2 linked regions of the Anolis sagrei genome follow. The protein of the gene in region 2 purifies or fractionates together with the protein of the main gene of each other region. This does not show direct contact. Links are inferred from orthologs where the notes say so. Each region holds a gene or a part of one and is shown on either strand. Other genes may lie near its edges. The genes, in order: ENAH and ZYX.

Region 1 (3,909 bases), on a different chromosome or scaffold from region 2:
CAGGCTGCTTGATTTTTGTCTCTCTCTCCAAAAAAAAAAACAAAACAGGAATGGCAGACCATCTCACTATGAATCTTACATGGACTTTGCAACTGCAAGTGCTGCAAAGGAAATCCAAATGAAGTGCCTGGGAGAAGGTCTAGTTTAACTCTGGCAGAAGGAATAGCTTTCCCTGGATCCTAATGCAAAACAACCTCCTGAGCCTCAATTTTAAGTGTTGCATCAAAGCAGAGGAGTAGTTGCAGAATGCAAAACAGAGGAGCCTCCTCCCTCTCCCCCCCCCCTCCTTCGCGAGTGTTTCCAGGGGAAATGAACCCTTTTCTTCTCCAGGGTTCATGCAGGGAGAAGGAGGACAGGCATGCCTCCTTCGATAGGGAGACCAAAACAAAACCTAAATACAAATATTCGAGATTCCCAAAGCATTGTGTGAGCGCTTTCTCTCTCTCTCTCTCTCTCTCTCCCCCCCCCCCCCCAATTCCTCCTATTTATCGATTACACAAAAGACAAAACCCAGCAGGGACTGCTGCATTGCAACACACGGCTTTTTCCTCGTCTCCACCTTGAATTCGGCAACTCTACGAGGTGATTCCGAGTCTGGTTTCCCAAAGCGAATCCTAAAAGGACGCTGGAAGAAGCAGCCTGGCCCTCCTCCTCCTCCTCGCCCCCCGCCCAAAGCAAAACGCATCCATGCCGAATCCCCCTCCCGTTAATAAATGAATGGCTCTCCCTCTTTCCTTCCTTCCTTCCTTCCTCCCTCCCTCCCTCCCTCCTGCGCACCAACCAGCCAACCCTCTCCTCCTTCCAGCCCTGGCTTGCAACAAAAGCCCCGCAAAAAAGCCAGAGAGATGAGCCATGATGATCCCCCACGAACACAGCAGTCGTCGCCTGCTCTGCCTCGACCGGCAAAACACACACAAGAACTTCCCCCACTTTCCATGCAAAGGAACAATGGGAAAGAGGAGGAGGAGGAGGAGGAGGAAGACCCGACAATAACAGGAATGGGGATACAACGCAATTCAGTCGATGGGGGATGAATTGAATGGCCGGACTGCGCGAAAGGGCTCCCCTTTCTGCTCCTTGCACCCCTTTGCTTCCAAACACAGCCCAGACCCCCATTAAGCCCTCCCCGAAATGGCGTTTCCCAGTCCAGAAGCCCCCACTTCCCTATTAAACCCCTCACTGAATACCTCATTGGGGGTTCCCAGTCCAGAGGCCCCATATTCCTGTTCAAGTCCCTATTGAATATCTCATTGGAGTTTCCCAGTCCATATTCTTAGTCAACCCCCAATGGAATACCTCATTGGGTTTTCCTAGTCCAGATACCCCCATATCCCTATTAAACCCCTTATTGACTACCTCATTGGAGTTTCCCAATCCAGAGGCCCCCTTATTCCTATTAACCCCTATTGTATATCTCTGGGTTTTCCCAGTGCAGAGCCCCCCATAGCCCTATTAAACCCTCTTTTGAACACCTTATTGGGTTTCCCAGTCCAAAGGCCCCATGTTGCTATTAAACCCTCTATTTAATATCTCATTGGAGTTTCCCAATCCAGAGGCCCCCTAATTCCTATTAACCCCCTATTGTATACTTCTAGGTTTCCCCAGCCCAGAGGCCCCCATGTCCCTATCAACCCCCCTATTGAATACCTCATTGGGTTTTCCCAGTCCAGAGCCCCCATATCCCTATTCAAACCCCCTATTGAACACCTTATTGGGGTTTCCCAGATCAGAGGCCCCATATTCCTATTATATCCCCTATTGAACACCTTATTGGGGTTTCCCACTAGAGGCCCCATGTTCCTATTAAACCCCCTATTGAACACCTTATTGGGGTTTCCCAGACCAGAGGCCCCCATATCCCTATCAAACCCCCTATTGAATACCTCTTTGGGTTTTCCCACTCCAGAGTCCTTATTCCTATTAACCCCCTATTGTGTATCTCTGGGTTTCCCCAGTCCAGAGGCCCCCATGTTCCTATTAAACCCCGTATTGAACACCTTATTGGGGTTTCCCAGACCAGAGGCCCCCATATTCCTATCAAACCCCCTACTGAATACTTCCTTGGGTTTCCTAGTCCAATCCTCTCCCACAAGAACCCCTTCCCTCTCCCCAGTTAGGACCAGCCCCCCATTAAACACACACGGTGCCTCCCTCCCCCCCCCTTCTCCTCCTCCATAATGGCTTCCCTCCTATTGATCAAGTCAAGGAGCCCCTTCCTCCTCCTCCTCCCCCTCCTCCTTCCTCTGTCTTACCTCATGTTGCTGCCCAAGGTCCGGGCGGGGGGCGCCTTCCCCCCAGGCCCAGCTCCTGCCTGTCTTCCTTCCTCTTCCTCTTCTCAATGGGAGCGGGAGGCCAAAGGAGGAAAAGGAGCGGAGGCAAGGGTCCCTCTCTCTCTCCTTCCTTTCTCTCTCTCTCTCTCTCTTTCTGCTCAGGCGCCAGCCAGTCCCTGCCTTGGCAACCCTCCCTCCGCCGGCCACAGCGGGGAGTCCGAAAGGAAGGAGGGAGGGAGGGAAGAAAGGAAAGAAGAGCGCGGAGGGAGGGAGGGGGAGAGAGAGGCGACCCTCGAGGCGCCGCGAGGATTACGCGGGAGAACCCCGGCTTTCGGGGAGGGGAGGGGAGAGGAAGGGGAGAGGAGAAAGAAAGGAAGGAAGGAAGGGAGCAAGGCAGGCGGCGGAGAGACCGGCTTCTCAGGGGGAGGGGAGGGGGCTGCAAGGCGAGGGAGGGGCCAGGCCTCCGGAGCAGGCGCGCCGAGGGGGCGGGGCCAGGGGCAAGCCGCGCCTATTGGACCTGCTCTGCATTCTCCGTGCATTCCATGCGGGATCTCAAAAGGGGGGGAGGGGGCGCCCAGAGGTGGGCTCGCCCAATCCGCGCGGGAGGCAAGCAGGCTCCTCCGCCCGGCGTTGCCACCGCGATGAGCACGCTCTCTCGCGCCCCCCCTGCCGGCCGCTCTCCGTATCGCTTCCCTTTTTTTTTGCGCACTACTTACCTAGCCGCGGGTCGGTCAGTAGGTACACCGTGCTGCTCACGTCCCTCCTGACTGAGCGCATCTGCACCGTGGAGTGTGCACGCAGCCTTGGCACTGCTCCATCTGCCGTGGAGTCCATCGCAGCTGCGGTGTGAGGAGGCACACCGGCACTCTTTGGAAAAGGAGGCCAAATTCTTTCAAAACTACAGCCAGTCCCCAAGTTACGAACCAGATAGGTTCTGTGGGTTGGATTTGTGTGTAAGTCGGAACAGGTACATTTTTAAGTGTAACTCCAGCCATATATGTATAATATATTTATTTTTAAAAAACACTTCTATAATCTTTCAAAATATTTTGTATTAGTCTATTGTTGTTGTTGTTCATTCGTTCAGTCGTCTCCGACTTTCCGTGACCTCATGGACCAGCCCACGCCAGAGCTCCCTGTTGGCCGTCACCACCCCCAGCTCCTTCAAGGTCAGTCCAGTCACTTCAAGGATGCCATCCATCCATCTTGGCCTTGGTACTCTTCCCGGGAGAAGACTAAAACCTTGTAAAATTACAATTGATTGATTGGTACAATTTAACCCGCTGTGCTACCTGCAGTAGCACAAGCAGGTTAAACTGCTAGCTGCAGGAAATCTAACCAGAAGGTTGAAACTTCAAAGCCACAAGTTGGGGTGAGCTCCCAACTGCCAGCCCTAGCTTCTGCCAACCTAACAATTTTAAAGCATGAAATGCAAGTAGATCAATAGTTACCACCTTGGCAGGAAGGTAAAAGGGCGCCCCATGCAGACATGCTGGCAACACAATCGGAGATGTCTATGGACAACAGGCTCCTTGGCATGGGAGAATGGAGCAAGAGCACCTCCCCATGGCTGGAGTTGAGCATCGCCTCTAGACACCGGATATGAAAAAAAGGGGAAGGCCTTTACCTTTGTCTGTGT
Region 2 (3,909 bases):
ATTCAACATAGTTTCTGGCAGCCACAAAAACAAAGTTTCTGGAGTAGAACAACTATGGGCCCTTCAACACAGCCCTATATCCCAGAATATCAAGGCAGAAAATCCCACAATATCTGCTTTGAACTGGGTTATCTAAGTCCACACTCAGATAATGTGGGATTTTCTGCCTTGATATTCTGGGAAATAGGGCTGTGTGGAAGGGCCCTACTTTCAAAGTACATCAGACACAATAAAACAAAAAAATAACACTTTCAACCTGGGAACATAATGTTTTTCAGATTTTGTTACATAGTATAATCTGGTGGGATGCTCTGTTGGCCAAGTCAGAAAAGAAAGAAAAAAGTACCTTGGCAAAGATATACCTGCAGAGAAGAGAAGTGAAAGGAAGGCCTACAGTCACAAGCCCTTCACACCCACAGGCCTTAAATCAAGAAAGTAAAAGGAAGAAGTAAGCGCACTCTCCAGGAGGAAGGCCACCCGCAGGAATGGGGGGGGGGGGAGTCCTTCTCCTTACCCAAGTCTATCTATACATCTGGAAAAATGGCTCAGGAGAGGGCCTCAGAGAGAGAGAGAAGGAGATACCTGCCTGTTACACACCACTGTATAAAATCCACATTGAATGGAATTATATGGCAATGTGGATTCAGATAAACCAATTCAAAGCAGATATTGTCAATTATCTGCCTTGATATCCTGGGTTACACGGCTGTGTGGAAGGGCCCTTTGAGTTAAAAGCTTGCAACAGTCCCCGCCTCTCAACTTTCACCAGCTGCCAAGCTTTTACAAGAGAAAGGAGGAGACTTGAGGTTGGAGGTATTTCCCTTGAGGAGGAGGAGGGGAGGATATGTCTGGCAAGGAAGAAACAGGCATCCTGAGGCCCCTTCCACACAGCTGAATAAAATCCCACATTATCTTCTTTGAACTGGAATATATGGCAGCGTGAACTCAGAGCCCTTCCACACAGCCATATAATCCAGAATATCAAGACAGAATAACCCACAATATATGCTTTGAACTGGGTTATTAGAGTCCACATTGTCATATATTCCAGTTCAAAGCAAATAACATTGGATTTTATTCAACTGTGTGGTGCTTTAGGGCCCTTCCAGAGAGGCCCTATATCCCAGGATCTGATCCCAGTTTTTCTCTTTATCCCAGATTATCTGGCAGTGCACACTCATATAATGCAGTCTAATGCAGAAAACCTGCGATCAGATCCTGGGATGTAGGGCTTGCCTGGAAGTGCCCTTGGATAACTTAGAGCCCTTCCACACAGCCATATAACCCAGAATATCAAGGCAGAAAATCCAACAATATCTGCTTTGAACAGGGTTATCTAAGGCCCCATCCACACAGCTGAATAAGATTCCACATTATTTGCTTTGAACTGGGATATGTGGCAGTGTGGACTCAGATAACTCAAGTACAAAGGAGATATTGTGTGTTTTTCTGCCTTGATACAGCTGTGTGGAAGAGCCCTTAGTCCAGTGGTTCTCAACCTGTGGGTCCCCAGATGTTTTGGCCTTCAACTCCCAGAAATCCTAACAGGTGGTAAACTGGCTGGGATTTCTGGGAGTTGTACGCCAAAACACCTGGGGACCCACAGGTTGAGAAACACTGCCTTAGTCCATACTGTCATATATCCCAGTCCAAAGCAGGTAATGTGGGATTTTATTCAGCTGTGTAAAAGGAGTCCCAGTTCAGAGTGGATATTGTGGGATTTTCTGCCTTGATATTCTGGGCTATAGGGCTGCCTGGGAGGGCCCTTCCACACAGACCTATATCCCAGAATATCAAGGCAGAAAATACCTTTTTTTCTAAATGTGGACTCAGATAACCCAGTTCAAAGCAGATATTGTAGTATTTTCTGCCTTGATATTCTGGGTTATAGGGCTGCCTGGGAGGGCCCTTCTACACAGCCCTATATCCCAGAATATCAAGGCAGAAAATCCCTTTTTTCCAAATGTGGACTCAGATAACCCAGTTCAAAGTGATATTGTGGGATTTTCTGCCTTGATATTCTAGGTTATAGGGTTGCCTGGGAGGGCCCTTCCACACAGCCCTATATCCCAGAATATCAAGGCAGGAAACCCCACATTGTCTGGGTGTGGACTCAGATAACTCAGCTCAAAGCAGATATTGTGGTATTTTCTGCCTTGATATTCTGGGTTATAGGGCTGTGTGTAAGGGTCCTGAAACTCAGGCTGTCCAGCTGCTTGGGCCTCCAACTCCCAGAATGCCTGACCATTCAACAAGCCGGCGAGGGCTTCTGGGAGTTGGAGGCGCACAGCTGGAGTTTGGAGAGTGCCTGGTGTGGCGCGTGCATGGAGTAGCCTCGCTTAAGCCCTTCCTCTCAGCACGAAAGCGCGCTCAAGGAAGAAGACTTTGGAGGAAAAGGCGCCTTCGGAGGGACGGGACAGAGGAAGAGGAGAACAGCCCGGCCCCCTCGCCTTTTCAGCCCCGGAACCCCCGAAGTATGAGGCGAAGCGCAGCCTGGCTTACCTTGAAGACGGTGGTCCCAAGAGGAGGGCTTTGCGCGCGCCTGTGCGCCTGAGGAGGAGAGAGAGTGCTTGGAAGGGTCTCGCGGCCAGGCAGTGCCAGCCCTCACACTCCGGCGCGCGACTTTCCCAAGCGCTGCCCGGCGGCGGGGCTGAGAGGAAGTTCGGGAAGGGGCGGCCCTCAGGAGGAGGAGGAGGAGGAGGGAAAAGGAGGAGGAGGAGGGTCCCCAGAACTCCTCACTTTCTCCCTCGCTCGGCGGAGGGGAGCCTCGCCCGGCCCCAGCCGCGCTTTGACCATAAAAGGAGAGAGGCCGCGCCGACCCAACAGCTGAGCTCACTCCTCCGGGAATGTGGCAAACCGGGGAGGCAGAGGTTGCGAAAAAAGGAGGGAAGGCAAGAAAGAAGAGGAGGAGAAGGAGGAGGAAGAAGAGGAGAAGGAAGAGGGGGGGGGGAGACAGCTTCCTCTTTGCCTCCTCCTCAAAAAAGGGGTGTCTCTTCTCATACACACACACACAGACACCCCCCTTCCTTTCCTTGAAGGCCACCCTTGGGATTTTGTAGTGTTACTTATTAGATCCTCACTATTTCTGAACTATTTCTGCAACAGCAGACTGGTTCAAGATTGGGAAAGGCGTACGGCGGGGTTGTATACTCTCACTCAACCTATTCAACTTGTATGCAGAACACATCATGTGTGTTCTGCATACAAGTTGAATAGGCTGGGGTAAAAAATGCTGGAAGAAACATTAACAATCTTAAATATGCAGATGATACCACTTTGATGGCCGAAAGCCTTCTCACCAAGGTGAAAGTGCAAAAGCTGGGTTGCAGTTAAACATTTAAAAAACTATGATTATGTCAGCAAGACTGATTGATAACTGGCAAATAGAGGGAGAAAACGTGGAGGCAGTGACAGACTTTGTATTTCTAGGAGCAAAGATTACTGCAGATGCAGACTGCAGCCAGGAAATCAGGAAGCACTTACTTCTTGGGAGGAGAGCAATGTCCAATCTCGATGAAACAGTCAAGAGTAGAGACATCACACTGGCAACAAAGATCCGCATATTTAAAGCAATGGTATTCCCCTTGGTCACCTACGGATGTGAGAGCTGGACCATAGGGAAGGCTGAGCGAAGGAAGATAGACGCTTTTGAACTGTGGTGTTGGAGGAAAGTGCTGAGAGTGCCTTGGACCGCGAGAAGATCCAACCAGTCTATACTTCATGAAATAAAGCCCGACTGCTCATTAGGGGGAAGGATAGTAGAGACAAAGATGAAATACTTTGGCCACATCATGAGAAGACAGGAAAGCAGAGAGAAGACAATGATGCTGGGGAAAATGGAAGGAAAAAGGAAGAGGGGCTGCCAAGGGCAAGATTGATGGATGACATCCTTGAAGTGACTGGCTTGAT

The links.
Region 1: the proteins of ZYX (region 2) and ENAH purify together in Homo sapiens (co-immunoprecipitation; 4 studies listed by BioGRID and IntAct, counting the BioPlex papers as one, with this or other methods). This does not show direct contact. The link is inferred for Anolis sagrei from reciprocal best matches to the Homo sapiens genes ZYX and ENAH.

The regions. Positions count from the first base shown.
Region 1 is NC_090021.1:39,444,552-39,448,460, forward strand, and holds the start of ENAH (protein enabled homolog), read right to left. Parts: upstream 2,705-3,909; 5' UTR 2,258-2,704; coding exon 2,253-2,257; intron 1-2,252. UniProt on the Homo sapiens protein: Ena/VASP proteins are actin-associated proteins involved in a range of processes dependent on cytoskeleton remodeling and cell polarity such as axon guidance and lamellipodial and filopodial dynamics in migrating cells.
Region 2 is NC_090022.1:196,437,816-196,441,724, forward strand, and holds the start of ZYX (zyxin), read right to left. Parts: upstream 2,703-3,909; 5' UTR 2,503-2,702; intron 1-2,502. UniProt on the Homo sapiens protein: Adhesion plaque protein. Binds alpha-actinin and the CRP protein. Important for targeting TES and ENA/VASP family members to focal adhesions and for the formation of actin-rich structures.